4 linked regions of the Tamandua tetradactyla genome follow. The protein of the gene in region 3 purifies or fractionates together with the protein of the main gene of each other region. This does not show direct contact. Links are inferred from orthologs where the notes say so. Each region holds a gene or a part of one and is shown on either strand. Other genes may lie near its edges. The genes, in order: SLC12A7, SLC12A2, LGALS3 and ECE1.

What was found.
Region 1: the proteins of LGALS3 (region 3) and SLC12A7 purify together in Homo sapiens (affinity purification with mass spectrometry; 3 studies listed by BioGRID and IntAct, counting the BioPlex papers as one, with this or other methods). This does not show direct contact. The link is inferred for Tamandua tetradactyla from reciprocal best matches to the Homo sapiens genes LGALS3 and SLC12A7.
Region 2: the proteins of LGALS3 (region 3) and SLC12A2 purify together in Homo sapiens (affinity purification with mass spectrometry; 3 studies listed by BioGRID and IntAct, counting the BioPlex papers as one, with this or other methods). This does not show direct contact. The link is inferred for Tamandua tetradactyla from reciprocal best matches to the Homo sapiens genes LGALS3 and SLC12A2.
Region 4: the proteins of LGALS3 (region 3) and ECE1 purify together in Homo sapiens (affinity purification with mass spectrometry; 3 studies listed by BioGRID and IntAct, counting the BioPlex papers as one, with this or other methods). This does not show direct contact. The link is inferred for Tamandua tetradactyla from reciprocal best matches to the Homo sapiens genes LGALS3 and ECE1.

What each region holds. Positions count from the first base shown.
Region 1 is NC_135335.1:49,362,061-49,369,063, reverse strand, and holds the start of SLC12A7 (solute carrier family 12 member 7), read left to right. Parts: upstream 1-4,002; 5' UTR 4,003-4,026; coding exon 4,027-4,165; intron 4,166-7,003. UniProt on the Homo sapiens protein: Mediates electroneutral potassium-chloride cotransport when activated by cell swelling. May mediate K(+) uptake into Deiters' cells in the cochlea and contribute to K(+) recycling in the inner ear.
Region 2 is NC_135346.1:6,464,499-6,471,525, forward strand, and holds the start of SLC12A2 (solute carrier family 12 member 2), read left to right. Parts: upstream 1-4,013; 5' UTR 4,014-4,028; coding exon 4,029-4,748; intron 4,749-7,027. UniProt on the Homo sapiens protein: Cation-chloride cotransporter which mediates the electroneutral transport of chloride, potassium and/or sodium ions across the membrane. Plays a vital role in the regulation of ionic balance and cell volume.
Region 3 is NC_135338.1:10,966,062-10,973,493, reverse strand, and holds the start of LGALS3 (galectin-3), read left to right. Parts: upstream 1-4,416; 5' UTR 4,417-4,516; intron 4,517-7,432. UniProt on the Homo sapiens protein: Galactose-specific lectin which binds IgE. May mediate with the alpha-3, beta-1 integrin the stimulation by CSPG4 of endothelial cells migration.
Region 4 is NC_135328.1:205,056,954-205,063,883, forward strand, and holds the start of ECE1 (endothelin-converting enzyme 1), read left to right. Parts: upstream 1-3,922; 5' UTR 3,923-3,985; coding exon 3,986-4,039; exon of another isoform or gene 4,040-4,056; intron 4,057-4,289; coding exon 4,290-4,376; intron 4,377-6,930. UniProt on the Homo sapiens protein: Converts big endothelin-1 to endothelin-1.

The sequences.
Region 1 (7,003 bases), on a different chromosome or scaffold from region 3:
TGCACTGACTGCACATGCGCACACACACACTGACATATGCATGCACACACACTCATACACTGCACATGCACACACACTTGCACACTGACTGCATGCACACACACTCATATGCTGCACATGCACACACACTCGCACACTGCACATGCACACACTCGCACACTGACCTGTGCATGCACACACTCATACACTGACTGTGCATGCACACACACTCGCACACTGCACGTGCACACACACTCGCACACTGACTGCACATGGACACACACTTGCACACTGACTGCGCAGGCACACACACACACTGGCTGTGCATGCACACACACTCGCACACTGACTGCGCATGCACACACACTCACACACTGACTGCATGCCCACACATTCATACACTGCACATGCACACACACTTGCACACTGACTGCACATGCACACACACTTGCACACTGACTGTGCAGGCACACACACTCACACACTGTGCATGCACACACACTGTGCATGCGCACATACACTGCGCATGCACACATACACACTGACTGTGCAGGCACACACACACTCCATTTTCTGCGGCTCCTTGTAACTCTAGAGTTACTGTTGACCACAGGATAGAATTCCAAACCCCACATAGGCCCAGCCCCATCCCAGCCACAGGACCCCAAGGGCAAGGCAGCTTTCCAGCTGTCTTACAGCGGAGCGATAGACAACCAAACTTGCCCTCCCAGCCGCGCCTCCTCACTGGGCAACCTGCATGGAGGCTGGGTGCCCCCAAGCCATCCCATCACTGGCTTGGGGCACCTCAGGGACTCTCAGGCCCCTCACATCTGATCAGGGCACTCTAGAGGGGCTGTGCGGGGCCAGGTCCATTCCCCGTTTCCCACTCCACCCAGCCCTGGGGGTCCTGCCTTTCCCCTGGTCCCAGGCTCCAAGGCTCAGGGCCACAGGCAGGGATGTGTGGCAGTGGGCAGCACCTCCACCTGCTGGGAACCCACATCCTGGATGTGACCAATGGACAGCAGAGGACAGCAGAGCTCCATGGCCTGGTTCCATTCACAGAGCCCTGGAGATCTCGGGGACCCCAGGCTGATGGGAGGGGCACACACGTCCTCCTGGTGGCTTTCTGACCACTGACCTCTGGCCACCAGCTGTCTTGCTTTTCTGCCTGAGCTGACTTGGCAAGAGCCCTCTCCCCCGTGGGGTCTTCCCAGGGTGTGGTGGGCACAGGACTTGCTGAGGATGTGGTGGGGGACAGAGAGAGTTTGCCACAGCCCAGAAGCCCCAAATCCATACCAGAACCTGTTGTTGGTCTTCCCGTTCTAGCAGCCTCCTGCCCCCCTTACTCCCACCTCCTTGTCCCCCGGCAGCAGCTCCTGCCTTCCCGACCATGGGGTCCGAGCCGGTGCAGACCAGGGGCTGCAGGCAGTCTGAGACCCCCGCTCACAGGAGGCTGGGCAGGGGTGGGGGTGGGGGCAAGGAGCCTTTCCCTTTCCTTGTTCTTGTCCTGCTGACTTGAAGCAGATCACCAGCAAACCTGGGGGCGTAGCTGCTGCTGCCTCGCTCGGGGTCCCCAGGGGCTGTGGACAGATGAGGGCTGGGGGCTGGGTGGGCTGGAGGCACTGCTGTCACCCTGGGGCAGTAGGTGGACCCCTCGGCCTGGAGCTTGGCCCCTGCGGACCCTCTGCCCTCCTCTTCCCCGCCAAGACCCCACCAGCGTCTGGGGGCACGGGGAGCACTGATGGGCACATGGAGAAGCCGACCCTCTACACCTGCTGAGACGTAGCCCCCCCAGCTGGCGGTGCTGGGACCCCAGCCCACCCAGGGGCTGGGCACTGAGGACGGAGCTGCAGCTCGGCCCCCTCTACCACACTGCACGGGAATATGGGCTGGGGGGGCTGGGGGGTCAGGGCTGCACGTGGGTCCCAGAGGCCATTGGACTTCCCCCAAGGAAGCCAGGGGTGGTGGGAGGCTGCAGGGATGGGGGACGGGGGTGCTGGGAAGGGAGGGCTAGAAACCCCAGAAAGGACGTCGAGGGGAGGTGGAAGATGGGGCCTCAGAAAGGGACCCCAGGCTGCTTGGGTGTCCATGCAGAGGGAGCGTCTGTGTCTGCACATCTGTGTGTCCGTGTGTCCATGTGCCCCCACTTGTGTGCACACACCTGGTGCTGAGGCACGAGGTAGGGACCCAGGTGTCTGCCCCATTCCCGGTGAGCTGGGGGACCGCTGGCTCCAAACCCCGTCCCCACAGGGTGCTGCACCATCCTCCACCATCCTGGTGCCCCCCTCCCACCTTAACATCCTCGTCCAAAGCTGACCTCATCCCTAGAGCTCCTCTTTCTGGAGTCCGAGCACTACTGGGAGGCTGCGGCCACCTCGTAAGAGCCACCAGGGACTTTCCCACCTGCAGGGTAAGTCCAGGACTTGGCCCAGCTCACAGGGCCCGGCCCAGCCTGGCCCACCTCCCCCTGGCCTCCCCATGGGGTGTACGAATCCCACACTTTCCCAGGGCATCTTGCTCTCCATCCTCTGCTGCTGGACCCAACAGGCCCTGGCCAGCGGTGCCTGTACCTGAGCCAGCGGGCTCCCTCTGATCTCCACTGTCTATAACAGGACAGTCTCCCATGGGCCAGGTGTTCCTCTCTGCACCTCAGTCTGTCTACCTCCTCCCACCTGTCATCCCATCATCCACCCATCCATCCATCTGTATGCCCATCTTTCTGTTCATCCACCCATCTGTCTATTCATTCATCACTCTGACTAACCTTATGTCAACTGTCCATCCGTCCATCCATCCACCTGTACATCCAGCTGTCCATCTACCCATCTGCATGTCCCTCTGTCTACCCACCCATCTGTCCATCCATCCTTCTGTGTGTTCTTCCATTTGTCCATATACCCATCTATCCATCCAACCATTCATATACCCATCCATTCATTCATCCATCCATCTGTCCATCCATCCATCTGCCCATCTTCATTTATCCATCTGAACATTCATCCATCCATCTGTCCATCCATCCATCCATCTGCACATCCACCACTGGTCCATTAGGCCATCCAAGAATCTTTACATACATACATACATCTGTCCATCCATCCATCCATTCCTGACTGCCCATTTTCCCATGCATCAATTATCAGTCCGTCTGTCTGTCTGACGGTTCACTTGTTGAACGCTCTGCGCTGCGTGCCTAAAATGTGTCAGGCACTGTGGGTGGACAGCTGGATTAGACTCAAGGGGCTCTTGACAAACAGAGACTGGAGCAAGTGCAGGAGCTGGGAATAGCGTCCCCAGTGGAGACGACAGCAGGGCCCAAGGCCGGGGCAGGGAGAGGCGGACCCTACTGGCCCCACTCATGCCTGAACTGGACATGGGGCTTTGCCTTGCATGCCCACAGAGCTTGAAACAAGTCTGGGAGTGGGCCTGGGGTCACCCGGAGAGAGCCACGTGTCCTCACCCTGGCTGTTGGCTTTCACTTGGGATGGGAGAAGGCAGGGGAGGTGAAGAAATGGAGAGACCCAGAGTGGCCCCACAAGCTCCCTCCTCTCTGTATCCACAGTACTGTAGGGTGTGTGCGGGGCCCCTACACGTTTATGGTGAGCACGCTTCATGGCTGCGGACACGGGCGGTGCTGCCACAGTCCTCGGGCTCCTCCGTGAGCCCGCCTCTTCCTGCGCCCTGCCACTGCCTGTCGATGCTCTTGTCTCTCCCTGGACTTTGATTCCCCAGCCAGGGCCGGAGGGCCAGGGGGACGGGGCTTCCAGCGCGGCTCCCGGGCACACGCCTGCGGGGTGCGGAGCCAGTGAGCGCGCCGGGCGCCCCGTCGGGTCTGGCCCTTTCCGCGGCGCCCGGCCGGGCAGCCCCACGCCGCCCCCTCCGCCGCAAGTCCCCTGTCTCCCGGGCGCCCCGCCCCGCCCCCAGGCGCCCCGCCCACGCCGGCCCTGCCCGCCCCTGCCCCGCCCCCGGCGCCCGTCGCACCCGCCCCGCTCCGCATCCCGCAGCCATCTCGGCGCCCAGGGACGCGGAGGCCGCTCTCGGGCCACCATGTCCCAGCGCTTCGTGGTGACCCCCGCGGCGGGCGGGGCAGGGGACCAGAGGCCCGAGGCCGAAGGCAGCGCTCTGGAGCCGCCGCGGGTGGACGCGCTGCCCATCCTGCGCTACTGCCGCGAGCCGAGCCGCTATGGTAGGTGCCGCCGGGCCGCCCGGCCTCGTGGGACGCGCGGCCGGCGGGCGGACACGTCGCGGGCGCTTCGGGCCCGGCCGGGCGCCAAACCCTCGGGGCTGCGGCTCCTTGCAGGGCGGGAGTGTGGCGGGTGGGTGGTGGCGCTGGCACGGGTCAGCGCGGGCACCAGGCCCTCCCAGCTGAGCCGAGCCCTGCCCGCGGCGCGCGCCTCTCACCTCGGCTGCCCCTCTCACGTCGGCCGCCCGATGACTCTCAAGCGGTCCTGCTTCGCGGTGGGGACCCGCGGTGTCCCGGAGATCGGCCGGTGACAGCTCCTGGCTGCTCTGATCTCCGCTCAGGACCAAGTCCTCGTGGAAGTGGGGAGGCAAGAGACAGGGACAGGGGCAGGGACGCGTGCTGTGTCCTCTGTGTGAGGCGACCACCTGGGGGCCCGAAGGGGCAGCATGGGTGATTTTATAACTTCACACCCTCTGCTTGGCGCTGCTGCACAGCCACTTCCTATAACCCAGAATCGTCCACCCCTGTCCCCAGCTGCCCCTGGCCTCTGAGATGCCCAGCCTCAGCCTGGGCCCGTGACCTGTGGGTGCGTCCAGCTGTGCAGCTGCTGTTCTCACTGCCGGGCTCTGAAGGCAAGGGCTCTGCACAGCCCTGGGGTGGGGGACACCAGTAGGGGCGTCCCTAAGGCACGGGGTCCCAGGGAATGACCATCTGAGGAGATCCTTCCCCATCTCAACCCCAGGGCTTTCGGCCAGCGGGCAACCGCGGGAGTCCCCCTCCAGGGCCTCTGTGTCCACGCAGTCAGCTGGGTGGGCGGCTGTCCAGGCCTCTGCTGTGGCCTGCCCAAGGGAGTGTGCACACTGTGTGCATGTGTCTCGTGGGGGGGGCCCTTGGGGACGGTGCACCCTAACCCCAAAAGTGCAGGCAGAAATGTGAGATACTTTCCAGGACTTTGTGCTGAAAGCCACAATGATTTCTTTATCATGGGATGAAGTCAGACGGCTCTGCATGTGGGCATGTGTGTGTGTGAATCTGTGTGTACAGGCACGTGTGCATGTGTGAGAATCTCTGTGTGTGCATATGTGAATGTGTGTACATGCATATGTACGAGTTTCTGTGTACATGTGTGTGCATGTGTGAGAATCTCCGCATGCACATGTATGTGAGTATATGTATGTGCGTATGTATGTGTGTGAATCTGTGTGTGTGCATGCGCATGGTGTGGATGCTCCTTCTTTGGGACTGCAGCCGTGGGTGCCGATATGTCACGGCTCTGGGGTGAGTGTGTGTGCATGTACGGGTACCTGTGTGTGTGCACATGGATGACGGTGTGGCTGACGCCCTGTCTTCAGGGTCATACAGATCGTACACCCAGGTGTGAACTTGAGCCCTTAGTTGGGGGTCCCAGGTTTTGCAGGTCCTGCAGGTCCTTGCCCTGCTCTGGAGGAAACAGCTTTGATGAAGGGAGCCCTGAGGGTCTTCGGGGAGGGACTGGAAGGGGCAGCCCTGAGATGCTGGGTCCCGGCTGCCCCTGCCCAGGCCCTGACCCTGGCTGTCTGCGATCTCCCCGGGCACCGCCCCCCGCGCGTAGCTAAGCTGCTGGGCCCAGGTGGACGTGCCCCTCCTCACCCCTCCTGTGACCCACATGTCTCTAGCTGGGGATGATGCCTGGTGGGTACCTTCCATGGTGCGGGCAACTGTCTCCCAGCAGGGCCCGGTGGTGGGGGGCTGGGTCACACTGATCCCCAGGCTCTTCCAGGGCCCCTGTTGCCCGCTCACCCTCGGTGCCCACGCATGGGCCCGCTCCACCATGGCGGCTGGAGGGGGGGCGTGGGCGCAGCGTGGGTGGCCCTACCCACCAGGCCTGTTTCCTTTGGCCTCAGTTCGTGGGCCTTGGCTGCCCTGGGGCACGGTGGGCAGCATCTGCCCAGGACGCTCACTCGTGTTTCCATCTGGCCTCGGCGCCTTCTGGCTGAGCCTGCAGGATGCTCAGTGCAGCGCCCGCAGTGCCCATTTCCTCCAGGATCGGGAAGTGTCAGCTTCCTTGATGCATTGGCGTTTGCTTCACATTGAGGATTTAACAACCAGGGAGTGAGCAGGGTGTAACCCCTGCCACCCCTGGGCGCGGGGTTGGGAGTGGGAGTAACCGGTCACCCACCTCCCAGGCTGTTGCTGTCCTGCTGGCCTGCTGCCAGCCCCAGTCCCCAGCAAGGGCTGGGCCGTCCACATGTGGGCAGGGTGGAGGGAGGGTGCAGGAGGTGGCTGCCTGTGAGGGGTGAAGAGGTAACCCCAAGCACAGGGGAGGTTACCCCGTCGGAGGGCAGGGCAGGAGCTGGGGGCAGACTTGAGCTTGTCCCCTGGAGCGTGGGAGTTGACCCAGCCCTCTGGAGTGCCCTTTCTGAGGGCCCCAGTAGGGCCCAGAAGTGCAGAGGCTGCCTGGGCTGAGTTAGGAGAGGGGGCCATCAGCCTCTGATGCCCGACTGCTCAGACCTCAGCATCAGAACAGAGAGGCCACACTGAGCTCCCAGGGGACATGTGTCTGCATATTCCAGGAGTAGCTGTCTCTCTGAGTGACAATAATCCCATGGCTACCATGATCCATGGCCATCATGGCCCACGGCCACCACTATGACCCACAGCCGAGACTCATGGCTACCACAACCCAGATACTGTGACCTATGGTCACCACCATGACTCATGGCCACCACCATGACCCATGGTCACCATGACCTATGGCCCACAGCCACTGTGACCCATGACCCATGGCCATCGTGACCCACAGCCACTATGAGCCATGGTTACCACCATGACCTCTGGCCTCCTTGTGGCCAAACAACACAC
Region 2 (7,027 bases), on a different chromosome or scaffold from region 3:
CTCCAAAGGTCACCGGCTGTTGGACTCGCTGCTTCTCGTGGCTATGTTGTTCTGCTCTCTCTGAATCTCCCATTCTCCAAAATGTTTACTCTTTTGTAGAACTCCAATAAACCAATCAAGACCCATCCAAATGGGTGGAGACATGTTGTCATCTAATCCAGTTTAACAACCACTCTTGATTAAAACACATCATTCAGGGAAATGTTCTGATTACAGTTTCAAACATACAGTACTGAATAGGGACTACTCCACCTTTACGAAATGGGATTTTGATCAAAACATGGCTTTTCTAGGGGGCATATGTGGTAGTTAGGTTCCGTTGTTAACTTGGCCAGGTGAACGTACTCTGTTTGTTGCTACGGACATGAGCCAATGGTACTCTGTTTGTTGCTGCGGACATGAGCCAATGGTACGTGAACCTCATCTGTTGCTCATTACACCTGCAGTCGGTTAGGAGGCGTGCCTGCTGCAATGAATAACGTTTGACTTAATTGGCTGGTACTTAAATGTGAGAGCACAGCCCATGCAGCTGGGCATTCCTCATCTCAGCACTTGCAGCTCAGCCCAGGCCTTTGGAGATGCAGAAAGAAGTCACCCAGGGGAAAGTTGTTGGAACCCAGGGGCCTGGAGAGAAGGCCAGCAGAGACCATCCTGTGCCTTCCCACATAAGGAAGAACCTCAGTGGAAAGTTAGCTGCCTTTCCTCTGAAGAACTAACAAAATAAATCCCCTTTTATTAAAAGCCAATCCGTGTCTGGTGTGTTGCATTCCGGCAGCTAGCAAACTAGAACAGCATACTTCCTTTCAAACAGGACAGTGACCTTAACCAAAATTTTCACTTGTAAAATGTGAGCAAAACTATGATTTTCTTCATAGAATTGCCATGAGGATAAAATAGGATTATGAATGTAAAAAGTTTAGGGCAGTATTTAGGACTTAACTGTTCAATAAATGTTAGCTGCTATTATTATCATCTCATGCCCAGATTACTGAAACCGTGCTGTCTTCCCAGGCTTACTCTTGCTCTTCTCCAAGCTTCTGTCCTCAGTATCAGAGAGGTCTTTAAAAAATGAAGATCTGACGATGTTCCAGCTCCTGAAAACCATCAATGGTCTCATATGACTTTCAGAATAAGAGTTTCATTTCTTACCATTCTTGACCTTTATCTCTATGCTTTATCCAACTGTCTTCAAGTTCCTTAGAGAGGCTACTTGGTACAATTTGGTCCTAATCGTCCTTCAGACCTTGGCTGAAACATCACTACCTCTCTGACTAGGTCACGCTCCTTCTATTTTGTATTCTCATTGCATCATGTCCCTTTTGCTCCTAGAACTTTTCAATTTGCAATTACATATTTATTATTACTATACATTCATTTGTATATTTCCTCCAACAGGCAACTTAAACTGAACTGATATCCCCCTAACCAAACCTGCTTTGTTCAGCATCTCCTCCATCTCAGAAGATAGCAATACCATTCTTGCAATTGCTCAAGTGAAAACCCTTGGATTCTCCTCCTTCTTTCATAATCTACAACTATCAGCAAAACCCTATTGCTTTCCCAGAACTCAACCACTATTCTCCATTTCCACTGCTATCACTGTGTTCCAAGCCACATAACTTCTTCCCAGATTATTATAACAGCTCCTAATATATCTCCTAGTTACTTTCTTTGGCCACATTATTCAACTCTTTTATTCTATCCCCAACAAGGCGGCTAGATTGATCCTTTAAATATCTGTCAGATCATGTCACTCTTCTAGTGAAACCCTCCAATGATTTGCCATCCCATTCACGATAAAAATGAAGTCCTTCCAATAACGAATGAGGTCCTATACCCACATTACAAACATTTAATGCCCCCAAACTCTTTGACCTAATCTCTTCTGATTCTCCCCATCTCTTAAGCAACTTCAGTCACACTAAAATGCACACTGCAATTCCATGAATCTGTCAGGAATTCAGGGCCCTTTGGGCTTTTGTTTTCCCTGCTTGAGAGGCTCTTTTCCCAAATATTCACATCACTGACGTCTTCACTCAAATGTCATCATCTCATTGTCGGCTTCCTTGGCCATCTTACCTAAAATTTAAAACTTTCGCCCACACACCACATATCTCATTCCCCTTCCCTTAGCACCCCCCCCCCACATGCAATATGCTTCAGATATATTTATCTTGTTTGTTGTCTCTCTCTAAGCTCCATAAGGAAAAGGACTGTTGGTTTTACTCACACTGTATCCCCAGAACAAAGCACAGCCCATGGGATGAACCCGTTCAGTTAAATGCATGTTGGGTTCCACAGCCACCGCATTGGTTGTGGAGCTGGAAGGCGCCTCACAGCCCAGCTCCTAAGGCTGCAATCTCCATCCTCTGCTAACGTTACTAAGATTCAAGAAGCGGTTTTTAAAATATTGACTACCTGACCCAAGAACTGTTTCTTCCTTTCTCCATCTTTAAAGCGGAAATAAGAAAACGAGTTGAAAAGTTGTCAAGGTCAAATATGATACGGATTTGCCTATTTAAAAAAAATTACCTGGTTATGGCGTTTTAAAAAAAATGCAAACTAGAGGCTCTCTGATCATGCAAGCATGATGTAAAGGATGATGTTTCCCTCCTAAATAATAAAAAAAAGTAGATGAATGAAAGACAAATGACTGAATACTGCCACTCATGGCTGTTTTTTCTTTTCTTTTTCTTTTTTTTTAACTGAAAGGCTTGAATAGAATTTGGAATAAAAATAATTACGCAGAGAAAAAGTTAAAAAACTTATTTTTCCCTACATTTTTACTGAAGAAAAACAGACCTTCCAAGCATAGGCATCCCTTTGTTTCTATGGAAACAGAGTTGTTCACAACCTACCCCAAGCCGGGCCTCGCTGCGCGCGCCGCCGTCGGGGCCGCCAGGCCTTTCCCGAAGAGCGTCGGGTTAAAACCGCCCCGAAGCCCCAAGACATCACGACGCAGCCCTGGAACCCTAAGACATCACCACGCAGCCCCCTTCTGACCTTCAAACGTCACGGCTAAAATAAAGATGCCGTCGGAAGGGCGGGCACGGGAAGGACTCTGCTTCTGCAAGCCTCCCTGACTGATGGGGCGCGGCGGCGCGGAGGACCCGCCTCCCCTCCGCCGGGGGCGCACCTCAGCCCCCGCCCCCGGAAGTGCCTCAGCACCGACCGAAAGCCCCGGCATCCCCCGCCGCGCGGGAGGCGGCCGGGCGCCGGCTCTGCCCTGGGTACCACGCGCCGGCGGGGACGCGGCCCGTCCGCTCGGTAGCATATCGCGAGATTTCGCCGACTCCGCCGAGCACTGCGAGTTCAGAAATCAAAAAAAAAAAAAAAAAAAAAAGCGAGAGCCCGGGAGCGGCCGCTGCGCTGGCGGCGCCCGGGAGCATCCGCGGCAGCGCCAGGCGGGGCGGCGCGCCGTTCGCCGCCCGAGCGAGGAGCCGTCCGGAGCGCCGAGGCCCGCAGCGCCGGCTCACTTGCGCGCGCCTCCCCGAGCGCGTGGAGAGGAAGCGGGCCGGGGACCCGCGCCTTTTCCCGCAGCGCGGGGCGGGGTGAGGAGGCCGGCGGGGAGGCGGCGGCGCGGAGATCGTCCCGGCGGCCGCGGCGAGGCCGCGCGTGCCACGTGATCCCGGTTCGTCTCCGGCGGGCCGCCTTCACGCGCGGCTGCGTGGGAGCCGCGGGGGGCCCGGAGCCGCGGGGCTCTCGCTGTCGCCGCCGCCGCCGCCGCCGCCGCCGCCGCAGGCTCGCGGGTGGGCGGGCTCAGGGGCGGGGCGCAGCGGGCCCCGCCTCCCGCGTGCTGCCGCCGGAGCCGCGACCGCCGCGGCCGCGCCGAGGCTTTAAACCGCGGGGCCGGCCCCGCGCTTGCTGCACTCGCGCGCTGACTCGGCTGCCGGCTGCGTCCGAGCGGTCGGGGCGGCGGCGGGCGGGCGGGCGAGCGGCTCCCTCACCCGGCGTCTGAGGGGGCGGCCACCGCGGGCCGGGGCGCGGAGGGCGCGCATTCCGCGCGGTCCGCCGGGTGCCGGGCGAAGATGGAGCCTGGACCCACGGCGCCCTCCTTCGGCGCCCCACGGCGGGCCGGGGAGACGCCGCCGGCCGCCGCGCTGTCCGCTGCCGGCGTGGACCTGCCCGGCACGGCCTCGGTGCCGGAGGATGCTGCGGCCGCGAGCCGGGGCGGCGGGGAAGCTCGCGGTGAGGGGGCCGCGGCGGCCGGGGATGGGCTGGGCAGACCCCTGGGACCCACCCCGAGCCAGAGCCGTTTCCAGGTGGACCTGGTTTCCGAGAACGCCGGGCGGGCCGCGGCAGCGGCGGCGGCGGCGGCCGGGGCGGGGGGCGGCAGGGAGACCCCGGCGGACGGGAAGGCCAGGGGCGAGAGCGTGCCGGCCAAGGGCAGCGAGGAGGCCAAGGGCCGCTTCCGCGTGAACTTCGTGGACCCCGCCGCGTCCTCGTCGGCTGAGGAGAGCCTCTCGGACGCGGCGGGGGTCGGCGGCGACGGGCCCAACGTGAGCTTCCAGAACGGCGGGGACACGGTGCTGAGCGAGGGCAGCAGCCTGCACTCGGGCGGCGGCGGCAGCGGCCACCAGCAGCATTACTACTATGACACCCACACCAACACCTACTACCTGCGCACCTTTGGCCACAACACCATGGACGCCGTGCCCAGGATCGACCACTACCGGCACACGGCCGCGCAGCTCGGGGAGAAGTTGCTCCGGCCCAGCCTGGCGGAGCTCCACGACGAGCTGGAAAAGGTGAGCGCCCGGCCCTCGCCCTGCAGCCCTCCCGCCCCGGCCACGGTCTGCGCCGGCCGGCCCTGCCCGGGTGCGGTGGCCGGAATGTGCGAGCGCGACCCGCTGGCACCGCTGGATTCAGCTGTCAGGGTGGACTTGCCGGTCGCAGCGTGTTAGGCTAGTCGTGTGATGCTGGCAGGACTGCGTGTACAGCCGTCCCATCCGCTTATTTGTGTGTTGGGTGCTTTTTAAATTAACCACCTGGTTAGCAAAACCCAGCCTGTCTCGATGACAACTCTGTCTGCAGGCCATGGGAAGGGACTGTGCGGGAGGTTTAGGTGAGGACGCCCTTGCAGACTGGAGCGCCCCTGCTCGCTGCGCCCTTTTTAAGGATTGCACTGGATGGCTTGGGTATACCCATTAGGGAATCCTAAGAGTGGTTGGTGTTTGAAGCCTAACGGGGTATGTTTGTGGTTATGAGTTCTTAAAGCTCATACTTGCAAACTTGGATATGCAAAGGATCATGGAGATCTCAAAGCTTAGAGCATGCTGTACCTGTTGATGGCATAAATGCATTTTATTTCTAAGGTAAACCTTTGGGAGAGGTTATCTAAAAAATAAAATTGGGGCTGGGAGGCAGAACCTTTAAATAATTTCGTTTTCTGTAGAGGATGTCCAGAAAGCAGTAAGCCCTCCAGTGGTCTTTGCATAAGCACTTGCACTTTGTGAACAGGAAACCATCCCCATAAACTCTACTGAGTTCTGTAATTTTTTTTTTAATGGCTACGTAAGCCTTATTTCTTCAGGTTTAGAATTGTTATTTTTGAGATAACATGCTTTTGAGATTCGATTAATGTTTAACTTTTATGACTTGGGATTACATTAAGTCTGTCTTTGCAAGTGTATAATGACTCCATTGATGGGATTGTGTGAATGCAAGGAGTTGGTACTGCATAGTTTGAAATCATCAGAGTATGGGAAAGTTTAAATACAGAATGTATGTGATTTCTTTTGGATGCGATTATTTGGGCTCATACATATATTTCGTACAAGGCAGCATTTGTCCCAAGGTTTAATAATGTAGCATTCATACAGTTTGAAAGAATTACAAAGGTCTGGACCCTTACAGCCTATTGATTGTTTAAAAGCCTGACATCATTTAGCTTTAGATAATACTCTTGTTATTCCATTGTGGCATCTTGTCATATTAGGAGCAAAAACTAATTTTAAACACTTTGCTTTTGTTTGTACTCCTGTACTGTAGTTTCTCTTCAGTCTCTTTGTAGGTAGATTGTACAGAGTCCTCAAATCTTTGTAGACTAAAGTAGATATGGAACTGATAATTTTCCTTTTCATAAGCACTTTTACAGTTGGAAGTATTATACAGATGTATTTCAGGCTTATTTCACTAAAGCAAGGTAGTTTAGCTGTAAAGCAATTCATTTAACCATAAGTTTCAGAAAGACTTTGAATTGAACGGTATTATTTACCTTGAAATTCTATGCTTCCTAGGGAAGTTTTGGTTATTTTAAATTAAATTCTCTCAGTAGCAAAGCATTTCAGTGATCCTGAACTTTAAGATCACTAAATGATCTTTGATGGATTTTTTGTTTTTTTTTTTTCTGTTAAAAAACAGAACACCTGTATTAGCTGTGTGATACTGAAGAAGCTTAGGTCTAACCTCTGAGTCTTAGCTTCCTCAACATTAAAGGTCATTGTAAAGATGAGAGAAAATAAAGGCCTAAGCACAGTGCTTGGGAAATACTGATTAGTGTAGTTATTGTTTTACCCTTGTATTTGTCCTTTGGAAAATACAGAGTTAAATTCTAGGATTTCAATTTAAGGTCGTTTCGAGTCCTATTTACTTAGATTAGTGTTGTGTATAAAATGTTATTTTCAGATTGTCATTGCTTCAACAGGTAGTCAAATGAATTCTTTGCTAATTTTTTTTTTCACCTTCCACTGCTGAGATCCTTTATTGCGATGAAAAAGATGTATTAGGTTAATTAAGTGTAGACTCATATACTAAAGATATTTGTGTGTAGAATTTTAAGGGAATTGGTTAAAGAAACACGTATGATCTTAAGTAGTATAGGAACAATCATGGCTGAATCATGGCCATGGAGATATACCTGTGCTGAAAGGGAGCAGGACAGCGGTGATAGGACCAGTTGGCGAGACCCCCAAAGTTATTCTTCATCCTGTCTAGATTGACTAATGATGTCCCCTTAGTACTTTCTCTAATGTTTCTTGTCCTTGATGAATCATATTATTTAGAATTTCTATACCATTTAATTCTA
Region 3 (7,432 bases):
TACATAGAATAATTTGAATTTACTATGCAAGATATATTAAGAAGTTGGCTGATAATGGAGTTGCTTTGAGACTAGTTCTATTTATCCAAAAAAAAAAAAAGCAGTCAATTTTTAGTCAGTTCTATGAATTGAATTCTTTACTCTTTTAGTTTTTTATCATCTTAAGGGGCATCAGAGGAAAGGGGTTGAAAACGATAAAATCTTACCCACTGTTGGTGGGAATGTCAAGTGGTACAACCACTGTGGAAGGCAGTTTGGCGGTTCCTCAGGAAGCTAAGTATAGAATTGCCATATGATCTGGCAATACCATTGCTAGATATCTACTCAGAGGACATGAGAGCAAGGACACAAATGGACATTTGTACACCAATGTTTATAGCAGCGTTATTTACAATTGCCAAGAGATGGAAACAGCCCAAATGTCCATTAACAGACGAGTGGCTAAACGAGCTGCGGGTATATACATACGATGGAATATTATGCAGCTGTAAGACAGAATAAAGCTATGAGGTATGGATCTTGAGGACATTATGCTGAGTGAGATTAGCCAGAAACAAAAGGACAAATACTGTATAGTCTCACTGATATGAACGAACATCAGTGAATGAACTTAGAGAATTTCAGTTAAGAACAGAGACCATCAGGAGATAGAAATAGGGTAGATTTGGGGTAATTGGAACCAAAGGGATACAGATTGTGCAATGGGACTGATTGTAAAAATTCAGAAATGGACAGCACAATACTACCTAACTGTAATACAATGTTAGAACACTGAATGAAGCTGAATGTGAGAATGATAGAGGGAGGAGGGCTGGGGGCACAAACGAAATCAGAAGGAAAGACAGACGATAAAGACTGAGATGGTATAATCTAGGGGTGCCTAGAGTGTATAACGATAGTGACTAAACGTACGAATTTAAAAATGTTTCTGCATGAGGAAGAACAAAGGAACGTCAATATTTCAGGGTGTTGAAAATAGATGGTAATTAATATTTTAAAACTTTAACTTATGTGTGAGACTAAAGCAAAAAATGTTTATTTGGTATGAAATTTATATTTTGACTAGTGCATCTCCTAATATGACTTTTGTGGACAGTTTAACTGAATGCTACAAGCACATGGAAACTTGAGTAGGGCATGAGATTTTGTAGGTTCGTCCAGAGTGATGTCCTGATAAACCCGAGTGATTTGAACAGTGAATAAAAAAGTATTTGCAAAGTCCCCTTGGGGGAATGGTGAGAAAGGGGGAAAATTCAACTTCCCCAAGTGGAGAATTCTTGATATTCTCACAAGCAGTGGGCACAACTGAAGCAAAAAAAAAAGGAAAAAAAAAACACAATAACATCAAACAGTCCACTGGATTTTTCTCCAGTGCTCACAAACTTGTTCACTTAGCAAATATTTGTTGAGTGGCACTTGGGAACATCAGTGAACAATGTAACAAAGTACTGTGCCCTCAGGGAGGGGTGCAGGAAGGAAAAGCAGGGAGAAATCAAGGATAACAAACACACATAGTAAATAAGTAAATTCTAGAGCTGATAAGGGCTGTGGAAAGAAAGAAAAATTAGAGGGGGTAAGAGGGGTTGGCAGTGGGAGGTGGTGGATTTGATTCTACATAGGGGGGGCAAGAGGACACCTCATGGAGAAGGTGACATTTGAGTAAAGGCTTAAAGTAGGTGACAGAGTGAGTAGATGACAGGAGGAGAGTATTCCAGCTATAGGGAACAGCCAGGGCAAGGATGCAAAGTCAGGAGTGCCACAGGAACAGCTTTTGGGGGCAGGAGTGGCTGGGGTGGGCTGAGCAAGTGGGAGGTAAGAGGAAGAAAGGTCAGAGTGAAATTCCAAATTAAAATGCTCACTTCTTTAATTTTTCCTTAGTAGCAATACAGCTTTATATATGACCTTATTCTTTGTCCCCTGACATTATAAGGTCCCAGGTAGCCAGTATCATGAGGCCACTCACATTGCCTAATATAATCCAACTTCATAGTTGCAGCCCATTGTCAATCATCCATTTTGCAAACAATCATTTACCCTCTTTTTTAGAGTAGCAAGCTACTGCTATTTTTTATAAAATGTAATTCAGGCTCTTCATTAATCTCTATCCCTCAATCACATTGTTTCAGTGAGATTATATCACTATCACGTTCCCATTTTCGATTTTTTATTTACTGAGTGCCCAAAACATAGACCACGTGTATTGTGTCACAAAATTCGATCACAAACACCAGTGGGCCAGTTCCAGCCAGGTCTCATTTGTCCTGCTTGAGGTTACGGGCTTCCCATAACACTTCGGTTCTTCTAAGAGCAGGGCTGTTCTTCCTCAGCAGGCCCCCTCTCCTGAGGACCCGTCAGCCGGGCAGCTCCAGCCTGCTGCAGCATCTGCCTGTGTCTGCTCTCCCCGCCCCGTGGGAGAATGCTAATGCCTATCCCATGGGGCTGTCTCTGGAAGTCTGCAGTGACAGCACTGCCCTGGGGTGGGAGTTAGCCTCCCTTCGGGGGACTGTACTCTGTCACCTGGGCCTTGATGCGGGCGTCTCTCAAAGCTTTCCAGATCCATCAACTTCTGGCCTACTCCCACTGCCTGGGGCTCCAACCAAACGAGCAAAAGAGGCTAGGCTGAGAGCGGGTGCAGACATTCCTTCTCTAGACTTGACTCCATTCTCTAGTACCAAAATCCTTTCCTCTAGCCCCAAATCTAAAAACTCCCAGGTGTATCCACTCAAGCAGTACGGAGGCTCTCTCACACATGCTATCAACCAGACACAGGATCCCAGTTTCAGAGAGGAGACTCTACTACTGAACTGAAATATCACACAGAAAGCACTAGAGATAAAGGGGTAGAAAGAGTAATTCTTCTTCATTCCCTCAGAGATCATTTTACCTTGTGGGCAGCCATTCTTTACATTTCTGAATGACCCTTCCAAGCTCCTTTTAAATCTACAACTTTCTGTGGCCTGGTGGTGATGGCATTTTGTTTGTTTTTGCTTCAGCTGGTTGAGCAGTGAATATTCAACACCTTATTTCTTAGACCCTGACACACTTTCAACTTGATCGATGTTATGATCACGGTCATATCTACTTTTCTGTGCCTCTGTTTTCTCACCTGTAAAATGGGGACAAAAATAACACCCATCTCATATAGGTATGTAAAGTACTGCACATAGTTCAAGAGACATAACTGCTCAATTAATATAGTTGTTTTAATTATTATCTGAATTAAAACAAACAGACAAACCTTGGACATACCTAACCATTTTACTCAGTTATTACCCAGTGAAGTGTTTGCAACCAAATATCACCTCCCTTCAGCAAGTACCATTATTTGCTGTAGCAACCTTTCCTACATTTGTAATTTTGTCCTTTCCCACCGTAACCAAAGGTAATTTTTGCATTTGCTCATTGTCCCATTCTCCAATCTGTGAGAAAACAGACATTCTGACTTCCTAAGATGTCATTCATTCTTTATTTCTTTTCTTCATTCATTAAACAAATATTCACCGGGATCCTACTACGTGCGAAACCTAGGGGCAGACGCTGAGGATACAGGGCTTACAAAGAGCAGAACGACCCCGCGTGTCCCCACATCACAGGTTTGCTGGACCCAGGCCAGGAAGGCGAATGAACACCTTCAAAGGGGAAGAATGTGGACACGTCTCCCTCAGCGGCTCAGAAAACTTTCTGACAGAACCTCCTGGTCACACTCAAATCAGTGTGATATTTTACGTACAGGAAATCCGTTTATTTGTATATAAAACATAATTACTTAAGAAATTTTTACGAAATTCCACATTTCTTACCCATTTACTCGTATAACCCACGTCAGCTTCACACAGACTCAGGACATATTTGAATCAGGAGCTCAGAATATCAAGTACGAACTCGGAAACTACTTCCTCAAAAAAAAAAAAAAAAAAAATCAAGCGTATAGGATGCAAAGTCAGGATAACTTTATGGAAGAGGTTTGTGGTTTTTGTTTGCTAAAATGCCTTTCTTTTTTTCCAGGGTGCAATTCTTGGGACGACTTTGATGCTGAGAGAGAGTTAAAGGTAAAGCAAAATGAGGGCGGGATGCGACTGCCTGGGATTCGGGCAGGAAATAACCGAACAAGGTAAAACAAGCAAGCGGGCCGCACGCAAAATCCCCCAGCGACCCAAACGCCCAAAACTTCGCAAACTTTCCCCGCGGGCCGTCGGCGTCCGCGGCGGAGTCCGACGAGCGCGCGGGCCATGCGGCCACGCCCAGTATCCCGGGACCGCCGGGGACGGACCCCGGGCCGCGGGCGTCGCCCTTCGTGGGGGCGGAGCCTCTGGCCCGTCGTCCCCGGCCGAGCGCCCCCCGGAGCGGCGCGCGCGGGGCGGACACCCGGGGGCGGGGCGGGGGTGGGGAACCCTGCGGCCGTCACGCCCCGGGAGAGGCGGGGCGGGGTGGGCGTATTTGAGGCGCGGAGCCGCCGTCGGGCCGGGAGCGCCCCGGGAGCGAGCGGGAGAGCCACGTAGCGGAGGCCGAGGCGAGGGTGAGCGGCGGGGCCGCGCGGGAGGGAGCGCGGGGGCGCGGGCGCCGCTCGGGGCGTGGCGGTTCTCGGGAGGGCTCGGCCGAAGCCGGGGAGGGAGGTTGGCTGCGCTCTGCGGGCGCCGTCCCGGGGCGGGGCGCGGAGCCTCGGACGTTCGAGGGGCCCGAGACGGGGCCCGAGACCGGGCCCAGGTAGCCACGACCGACGGAACTTCGCGCTCAGGGCGAGCGGGCGAGGCGGCGGCCGCTGGGCGAGCCGGGCGCCGGCCGCTTTCTGGGCGCTCGGAGGACGCACCCCGGCCGCACCCGGGCCCCACCCTCCCGCTGCCTCCGCCGTCTGTGGTTTATGGACGTGGAGTCTCTCGGAACCCGAGTTGGGCCACTTCCGAAACGGCTTGGTGCAAATGCAAGCAAGCGTGCTGCGGCGGGACCCCCGCATCCGACCAAGCAGCCCCCTCTCTTCCGGTATTAGAAACCAGGCGTAGGGCGGCTTTTGGGACCTGTGATCCCGCTGCCCGGGCCACTTTTATCTCTACAAGGAGATCTTGGTGAGGGCAGGAAAGAGTTCTAACAGGCCCAACAGTCCCGAGACAGGGGTTGCGGCCAGCTTTCTGAATGTGGATTCCACGGAAAAGGGTGCTGCCCTCCCCACCCCACCCCCAGGCGTCCGGAGCATGCGTCGCTTTTGCAAAGTCTGCACACCCTAAACTGTTAAGTGACTCATCCCTGCCCAGTTTGGCTACTTTGGGCCATAAAAGCTCATATCTGTGCTAGGGATGTGTCAGGAGCGGCAGAATTGTGCAGAGCCTCAGCTGGGGGGTTTTAAAACGTGTTTGAGGATATATTCTGAATTATCAGCTTATCAAACAGAAGTAAAAATGCGGCCACTGGCGGTTGGGTGCTAGATGCTAGAGAGACAGGCACCTATCGGTGGACTTGGGTCCCCCAGCCCTTCAGAGCCAGCCATTCCTATTTCAGATACTGTGGAATATTTGTAAAATGGGTCGTGGACAGTGAGGTCAGCTGGACTTCGGTGACCCAGTCTCCTTCTGGGATTCTGGGAAAAGAAGGGCAGGCAGGCTTTTTTAATTCTGAAGAAAATGAGAGAGAGAAAATGAACTACTTGGGTGCAGTGCATCAGAGAAAAATCCCACCATCTTCCAAAATTTTGATTTGTATGCCTCATGTTTAGAAAGTTTTCTAGGAAAAGTATTTGTTCCCATAAAAGTTAAAGTTTAATAATAAAAATTTATTTTCCCACGAAAAATGGTCTCCTTTTTAGCCTTTGACTTTGAATTTTTGGAATGGGACTTTCATTTCTTTGATGGTCCTGCCTCATCCTTGATCTTTTGGAGATTCGAGCTGGTTCCTAAATTCATGTTTTGATGGTTTAGAAGCAGCGCTTCTTCCATATCCTGGGAGAAAATTTGATGATGGTGCATGAATGTTTAGGGTTTAGAAGTGTTAGGAGGTTGCCTCATGAAGTAAAATAAGTAGCAGAAAAGGGGGCATTCTGCCCTGCCTGGTGGATTGACCCTCAAAGCTAGTCGTTTTCAAGTAGAATGGGAAGCCTCGCTCTACTGAGACTTGACTTCCTATCAAGAAGAAATGACTTCCTATCATTTAATCATTGATAGTTCGCAGTGCTACGGATACACATAGGAGCTTCAGGCAGACTTCTGATCTATTGCTAAGGATGTCAAGAGGGCCAATCTCATCTGTAATTTAGATCCTGTTTGCCTAGAACCTTCATGAACCAGACGCTGAGTTTCCACTGCGACAGAGACCTATCATCAGAGAGTATAACTTGAGTACCCTGTGCCGGCTTTAAGTATTAGTAAGCTTGTGAACTGATGGACCTGCAAACTCGTGGTAATTGAATAACTAACTCATGAGTTCTATTGAGCTCTGTGTGTGTAGTGCCTGAAGTGGTTCTTCTCATTAAATTCTGAGTAGGTAACAGAAGAGCCTTCCAGGGCAGTGCTTGCTGTATACTTCCAATTGCGTTGGACTAAGTATCATGTTCTCTCTTGACTACTGTTCAGCTTTTCCATAAGGGAAAAAGAACCAGTAACTGAGAAGCACAAAGTAATTTTGCCTCCCTTGCTCCTGAGGAACTAGCATGAGAAAGAAATCCCAGGAAAGGATGGGTCTCCTTCACCCCGCTTAACATGGGTTGTGGAAAGTGGACTTTCCCCCAGCTCCGCTGAGTGTTTCAGGAAGTAGACCCCCCCTTTGTGTTCCTTAGGGAGGAAAGTGGTGCAGGGTTCTGGGGTTCTGAGGTAATACATTCATCATCTACTTCCATTAACATTTCTGTAACGGTCAGGGCCCCTCGAGCAAAAATTTCAGAACTGTGCCTGATAACCCAGATGAGTGGGTCCATTGCTAGGGTGGCCTAGAATTGCATGGTACGGTAAGCTACTCGATGTTAAAGGGAAGAGCTACCAGCTACCAGCCAATGAAAATGATCTACATTTCGGCACCTGTTTAAGTTCCTCATTCTAAAGCTACACTGAATTACTGTAAGTTTTCCAAATATGGAGACCCAGGTAGGATTTCCCATTTTGGGGGTGCCTTGTCTTTCGTGCAGTGTTTCTTTTCTGGTTCTTCAAAATTCTCTGATTCTGGGAAGGCCAGAATGGAGTTTTCATATCTCTGGAGCAGGGAGATTTTTTCTTTTACATTTAATTGGCCTTCTCTCTGTAAACTGCTTCATCTGGGGGGAAAAAAGTGTAGCTAGAAATTTTTCAGGCAGCTAGATGCTAATTTTAAAATAGATGTCTTAAAAAAAATGTTCTGAGGTTGTCCAGCTTGATTTCAAAAGAGCATTGTTACAACTCTTTTCAAAAAAAGAGATCTGATGGTAGAGGTTGACATAACCCAAACAGCGTGTTCCCAGTTTTTGGAACACTTGTTG
Region 4 (6,930 bases), on a different chromosome or scaffold from region 3:
CCCCTCATCCTCTGTCAGCTGAAAAAGAAAAGCACCCCATCTCAGCTGTCTTCTCCTTGGCAGGACAGCCCAGCCGTCAGCCCCTGGGATGGGTTTCCAGCCTCCCTCCCTTGCCTCCCACCCTCACTCAAACAGCCCTGGAAGCCCCAGCCTCAGACCAGGCCCAATCTGACCCAGCCTCTGTGCTGGGGGTGGGGTGGGGGTGGGAGAGGGATTGTGTGGGAACACAGAGAAGGGGACTGAACCCTGGCAAAGGGGGAGAGGGTGGTCAGGATTGCTTCCCAGCAGGGTGACCCCTGAAATGAGATGGGAAGAGGGGGAGACCCTGCTTAAGTGCATCTCGGCAGGTCACATCCCTGAGCCTCACTTTGGTTCTCTGTAAAAGAAGCCTGCTCAGGGCCAGGTTTGCAGGGGCTGCACCTTCTCAGCCAAGGGGCCTCCGAGGGCAGGGGGAGGCTTAGATTGGGTGACGGGTGTGCAGGAACTAGCAAACACCTCGCACCCACCAGGTGCCCTGAAAATAGGAGCGGTTATGCTTGGCTGGAGAGATGTTTGGTGAATCAGGTTTCTTTTTCAAGGGCTTTTTTCATCAGGTGATTGGCCCCCTTGCCTGACACTTCATGTATCTTCCCCTCGCAAGGATGCAAAAGTTGAGGCTCAGAGAAATTTGCCATTTGTCCAAGGCACACAGCATTTCAGCTAGGCTGCTGCAATCAGAACCAGGCCTGCCTGCCTCCTCAGCCCCTACTCCTCTGGAGACCCGGGCCCTCCTCAGACAGTGGGGGCCACCTAAGGCCCCTGCCCTGAGGGAGTGTCTGGCCAAGCCTGCTGGGGGCCAGGTTCGCAGGGGCCACACCTTCTCAACCGAGGGGCCCTGGGGCCCTGCTCTCTGCCTTCCCCCGCCTCCCCTTCCTGGGGCCTTTAGCACTCCCACCCTGGGCTCCATTCCCTGCTCGGTTTCCTCCTTGTTTCCAGGTAGGGCTTCAGTCTCCATTTCAGGTGGAGGCCTCAGGTAGCACCTTTGCCCTGCAGACTCTGGGCAGTGGGGAGGTTATGGGATGGAAGTGCAGGACTTAAGGGATTCTCAAGGACTTGGGGAGACCCTCTGGGCCGGTCTATGCAGGGAAGCCAGTGGAGGGCCATGGTGATGGGGAGAACTCTCTGGTGAATTGGGGCCGTGTTTGCAGCTCATTGAGACCATACCAAGGGGCAGATACTGTGCAGTGTTCTCTTCACACCATTTTGTTTTATAGCAAAAGAACTTTACCCCCACAGAAGCCCAGATAGAAATTACTCTGAGGTACCTCTGCCAACCTCCAGAGCTGCATAGAACCTAGTCTGAAAACGGCTGTTACTATGGGGAAAGAAATGGGCTGGAACTAGGAGAAATGGTACTGAGTTCCCATTCTGCCACTAATTTGCTGTATGACTTTAGGGATATCCCTACCCCTCTCAGAGAATTAGCTACCACCTCCTCTCAATCCCATGTAAAAAGAGGAGGTTGGATTATTCAATTGCGGTATCCCAACCACATCTGATATTCTTAGATTCTGACTCCAGGTGGATTTTTTTTTTCTCATCAGAATAATCCAGGCTGTCAATCTATAAAGAGATGCTTTATTTGACAGTCTAGACAGAAAGACTTGCCTTAAAGCTTCCTGTCACTGGGGGTGTGTAATCACAGTTGGGGGTCCATTTAGTTAATAATGCCACAGGAAACTGTCATTTGTTGAGTGCTTACTATGTGTCAGGCTTTGAGCTATATACTTTACATACTTCAACTCACCTGTCCTCCCAAAAATGCTGTAATGCAGTTTTACTATGGCCCTATTTTAGATGTGAAAACACAGAGGCTCATAGGGGTTAAGTTTGCACAGCATGAAAAGGATGGTATGGGATTCAAACCCAGGTGCGCCTGGCTCCAAAGCCCTCTCCCTTCATTGTACAGTGCACGTCCCCAGTTTCTGGGTCCAGGTTGAATATCTCAGGGGTGAGATTGTATTCCCAAACCGTGACCTGAGCCTAAGTGTCCTGGTTTCAGAAAACTCAACTGTAACCCAACGTTAAGTGAAGAAGCCTTGGAGTCCTTTCTCTTTCTTTGGTGGGTAATGGGAACTCTTCATACAGTGGGAGTGAGGTCCAAGATTTCAGAATAAAATTCTTCCCTGACACCCTGCCTCCCCCAGGGCTTCCAGGGCATGTGCTCCTGAGATGTGTTTCCTCTTCCTTGGACGTGTAAGGATTGAAAGGCAATGCCCCAGAGTAATTTTCACTTCCCTTCCATTTCCTCCATTCATTTTAACAATTGTTTATTGAGCACGTAATCTGGTTCTGCTGCCTGGGATTCTCTGTTGGACATGACAGACAAGGTCCCAGCCCTCATAAAGCGGACGTTGTGGGAAGATGGAGAGAGATGGATAATAAAAAACTCAAAACAAACAAAAATAAGTCTACAATAAATGCTAAAAAGGGTTTTTTTTTAAGTGCTGTAATAGAGAATTTGGGAAGTTACTTAGATAAGGTGGTCAGCACATTCGAGGAAGTGACATTTAAGCTAAGATGTGAAGCAGGAGCCAGCCATGGGAGGAGCAGAGATGAGGAAAGAATGTTCCAGATAGAGGGAACGGCAGGTCTAAAGGTCTTGGGGGATGGAGAAACTTGAAAAATTTGAGAAATTGTCTGAAGACTAAAAAAGTGAGGCCTGAGTGAGGTGTAGAAGACAAGATGAGGGGCAGAGGTGGACAGGGACTGGACAGTGGAGGGGTTTTAAGCAAAGGAGTGGCGAGATCTGAATTTCATTTTTAAAGGCTCAAAGGCTGCTAAGTTGGGCTGTCCAAACGGGGGAGAGTAGAGGCTGAGAGATGGGTCAGAAGCCACTGTTGTCACTGTCGATGTGACCTTGGGCAGACACCTCACCTCTCTTAGCCTTTTTCCTCACACATTTGTGTGATCGTGAGAATCAATTCTGGGAATGAACAGAAGCGCACTTGGGAAAGGCAAAAAGTGTGCATAAGTTCAGGGGATTCCAAGTCTCAGTAAAAGCAAATTTCTTCAGGAAATTGTTCTGGATTGGAGCTTTCCTGGGTCTGGGGTGGAAAGGAGAGTGCCTGGAGGCCCTACCTGAGCATCTGACATCTGAGAAAGCCCAATTCCTCCCTAGGGTCACAGGGGCTCCTGAGCCGGGCAGGACATCTGCTGGAGGAGGGAAGGGGGGAGGGAAGGGACGCTTCCTGGTTTCTGACTTACCCCGTAGCAGTGGTTCTTAGTGTTTTGGGGGAGGGTCACACCCTTGAACTTGGAGGCAAGCATTGGATGACCCCACCCAGGTGCAGACACACAGCATTTTCGTTGTGTCCAGGGAGTTCTCTGGGACTTCCTAAACTTCTTCATAAGCTCTGGCTTAAAGATCCCTGAGCCAGAGGAAGGAAGAAATGAATGGAGGGAACACCTTTCTTTTTTATTGCACCTTTTCCCCCGCCCCCACCCCCTTCTAATCTTTCTGGCTCAGATTGGCGGCGGGGGGGGGGGGGGGGGGGGGCGCCCCCCCCCCCCCCCCCCCCCAGGGCTGATGGTGAGGGAAACCTCTTGCTGGACGGTTCTGACTCTGGTGGGTGGGTACCTTCCTAATACTTCTGATCTGCCATTGGGGTCTTCTCCTAGTGAAGAATTCAGAGTTTCTTAGAGCGATCGCAGCGAGGCCCCTTCCTGGCTGCTGGGGGCTGGCCGTGGGGACTCCTCTGCTGACCTCAAGGGAGGACAGCGGTCCCTCACTCCCCGGGAACTCTCGGGCCGCGGGGGTCTCCCGGGAGCCCAGGGTGGGACCCCCGCGCCGCGCGCCCAGCAGACCCCGCCCGCGGAGGCGGCTCAATGCCAGGCCCGCCCCGCCCCGGCCCGGCCCGGCCCGGCCCGCCCGGCGCGCGGCGGTGGCGGTGGCGGTGGCTGCGGCGGCGGCGGCGAGTGCAACTCTGGCGCCACGGGGCTCAGCATGCGGGGCGTGTGGCCCCAACACCCGGTGGCCACCGCGCTGTCGGCGCTGGGGGTGAGGCCCCGCGTTGCGTAAGCGCGGAGGGGGCGGCGATGGGGGGGCGGAGGGGGACGGCGATGGGGGGGCGGAGGGGGCGGGGACACCCCCTTCCCTGCCGCGGGCCGGTCCGTGGGCCGGTCTCGGGTGTCCGGGCCGGGCCGGGGCGGGGCGCGGCGCGGTGGTGGCGGCGCCGGGGCCGCGTCCCCATTCGGGTACGAGAGCCATGGAGGCGCTGAGGGAGTCCGTGCTGCACTTGGCCTTGCAGATGTCGACCTATAAGCGGGCCACGCTGGACGAGGAGGACCTGGTGGACTCGCTTTCTGAAGGCGACGTGTACCCCAACGGACTCCAGGTAGGCGTCCTCTCCCTCTGCCGCCCCCCCCCCCCATCCCGGGGCTCCAGGTGCCCTAGGCCTGGGCATGTGTCCTGGCACTGCCCTCCCTCCACTCCCGCCCTGTCCTGCCACCCGGAAGGGGGGCGTTCCAGCCTGGGCAAGAATCCTTCCCGGGTGAGAGGGTCTCTGAGGTGTTGCCCCCGCCTCCCGCCAGCCTCCCCTAACCAGCTGACAAATCCTCTGGAGCCCCTGCTTCTGCTGCTAGCCCAGGTAGCAGAGTTGGAACACAGTCAGACCTGAACTGGTCCAGTTCCCTTTGCACAGAGGAGGCAGCCCCAGCCTGGCCCAGGGACTCATCAGTGAGTTTTCTCACTGAAAGTCCTGCATCCTGGGGAACCCCTCAGTTTCTGACAAACCATGATAGTTGGTCACCCTATATGGTTGGCATTACCTCATTCTTCTTTATCCCCAAATACCTGAATTTCCAGTGTGTGGGGGCACCCAGCCCATCCTCTGTTCTCTCTGTCCCTCCCCCTTTTCAGCTTACCTGAGAAGCCCAATTCCTCCCTTCCCCAGGGTCTGCCCCCTGAAATCTGAGAGAACTGTCGCTTCCTGGTGGGGCTGCCAGGAGCATTCCTGGCGAGGGCCTCCACCTGGTGGGGTTTGAATCCAGGGGGGTGGGCCACGGCGAGTTGGATATGTGGAGACACCCAGGATCCTTAGTGGGGCTCTTGAGAAACCAGTGTAGACAGGAGGCTTCTGCCAGGTTGGGAAGGGAGACACAGAGGAGACGTATTAGCCCCCCCCCCCCCCGCCCCCAGTGAACTCACATCAAATCACAGCTCATCTTGAGGGCAGGTTTAGTGGGTGTAAAGTTAGGGGGCAGGTCTAGTCCTACTCAAGTACGCCTCTTAGAAGCCGGAGTGATAATGCGAATAAAGGGAAATAGCACTGATTGAGTCCCTCCTCCAGATTAGTTGAATAGGCCCATGGAGATCTGAACTCAGGAGCCCAAGTGCTCTATCCACTGGGTATGGAAGCTTTATCCCCAGAAACTGTAGGGATTACTTTTCCTACTTACAGATATGGAAATTGAAGCTCTGAGACGGGAAATGTCTTGCCTTCGGTCAAGGCAAGAGCTAGAAAATCGTGAGCAAAAAATCAGACCTAGGTCTGTCTAGGACTCTTCCCTGTGGACCCTTCTTAAGAGGCTAAATCCAGCAGGAAATTAGATGCCTGTCACATGCAATTTCCCCTCACAAGTCAAAACAGAATCGAATCAGCAATCTTTTTCAGTCTCATCTTTCACAGAAGGTTCTAAATATATCAACACAAAAGCATTTTGGAATTCGCAACAAAATAATATGCTGTGTTGTCACTACGGCAGCAGCCCACATGGGTTTAGCCTTTTGCAGATCACGGAGTACCTCCCATGCATGTGGGGCTGCTTAGTGCAGGGGAAGGAGCCCAGTCTCTGAAGCCAGGAGTCTGGGTCTGCACTCTTGACTTCACTCATGACCTTGGTCAAGACGCCTAATCTCTGTAAGCCATAATTTTCTCATTTGTAAAATGCGAGCTAGAGAAAGTGCATGGAAAGCACACAGCATTGGGCCTGCTAGGGTCATTGTTACTGTTTTTGTGCCCAGTGAGGTAAAATTTGCTGCCCCCATCTTCTGTGTCAGAGAAGGGGACCTTCTGGTGGGCACACAGATACCGTGTGGGTTGGAGTTCACTGTGGGTCCTTCTGCACCAAGTGGCAGAACTGGGCACATCTTCAGCTTTTCATGCAGGGAAAGCCAGAAAAGTTGGCTCAGGGATTTGGGACCTTTCCATGGTACCCAGCCTAGCCTGCCCTGACCCTCTGTGACTTCCCCAGAGCAAACTTGAACTAACCAGTGCTTGCTCTTGACCACAGTCAAGAACCCATCCACCTCACCTGGCAAAGCAGAGCTTTTTAGTAGCCTTATGTTTTTAAGAATTAGACTTTTTTGTTCTCAATGTAAAAGCTTTACCTGCTTATTTATGGATAATATATATAAAAAAGGATTTTTTTTTATAAAGCAGTAATCCCACCACTCAGTGATAGCCTTTTTAGCATTTTTGGTATAGTCTGGTGTTTCACACATGCATATATTTTTTTTAGTGTAGTTGAGCTCCCTTAATACACTCTAGTACATGATGCTGTATCCTTTTTTCACCTAGCACCACTTCATAAACATTTTTTTATGTTAAAAACTTACGAAATATGCTGCCATTAAAAATCACCTAAAGAAGAGAATGATTATAAAAAAAAATCACCTAAAGAAAAACACCTAAATAAACTCTTAAACAAAGTCATTATACCTCGTGGTGTCAATATGTAAAAAGGCATTTATTTACTCAGTCCACTGTAGTTGGACATTTAGGTGCAATTGTTCTAATACTTGGGTGACCATCTGAGCTTTTCAGATGGCTCCTTGCAGATTGGTGCTGGAAACACAACTGCAACTCTTAAATTAGACTTTGAAAATTTGGCAGCACACCCCAAATCTCTCTCTCTTGACAGGCAGCCATGAAACTAAGCTATTTGATT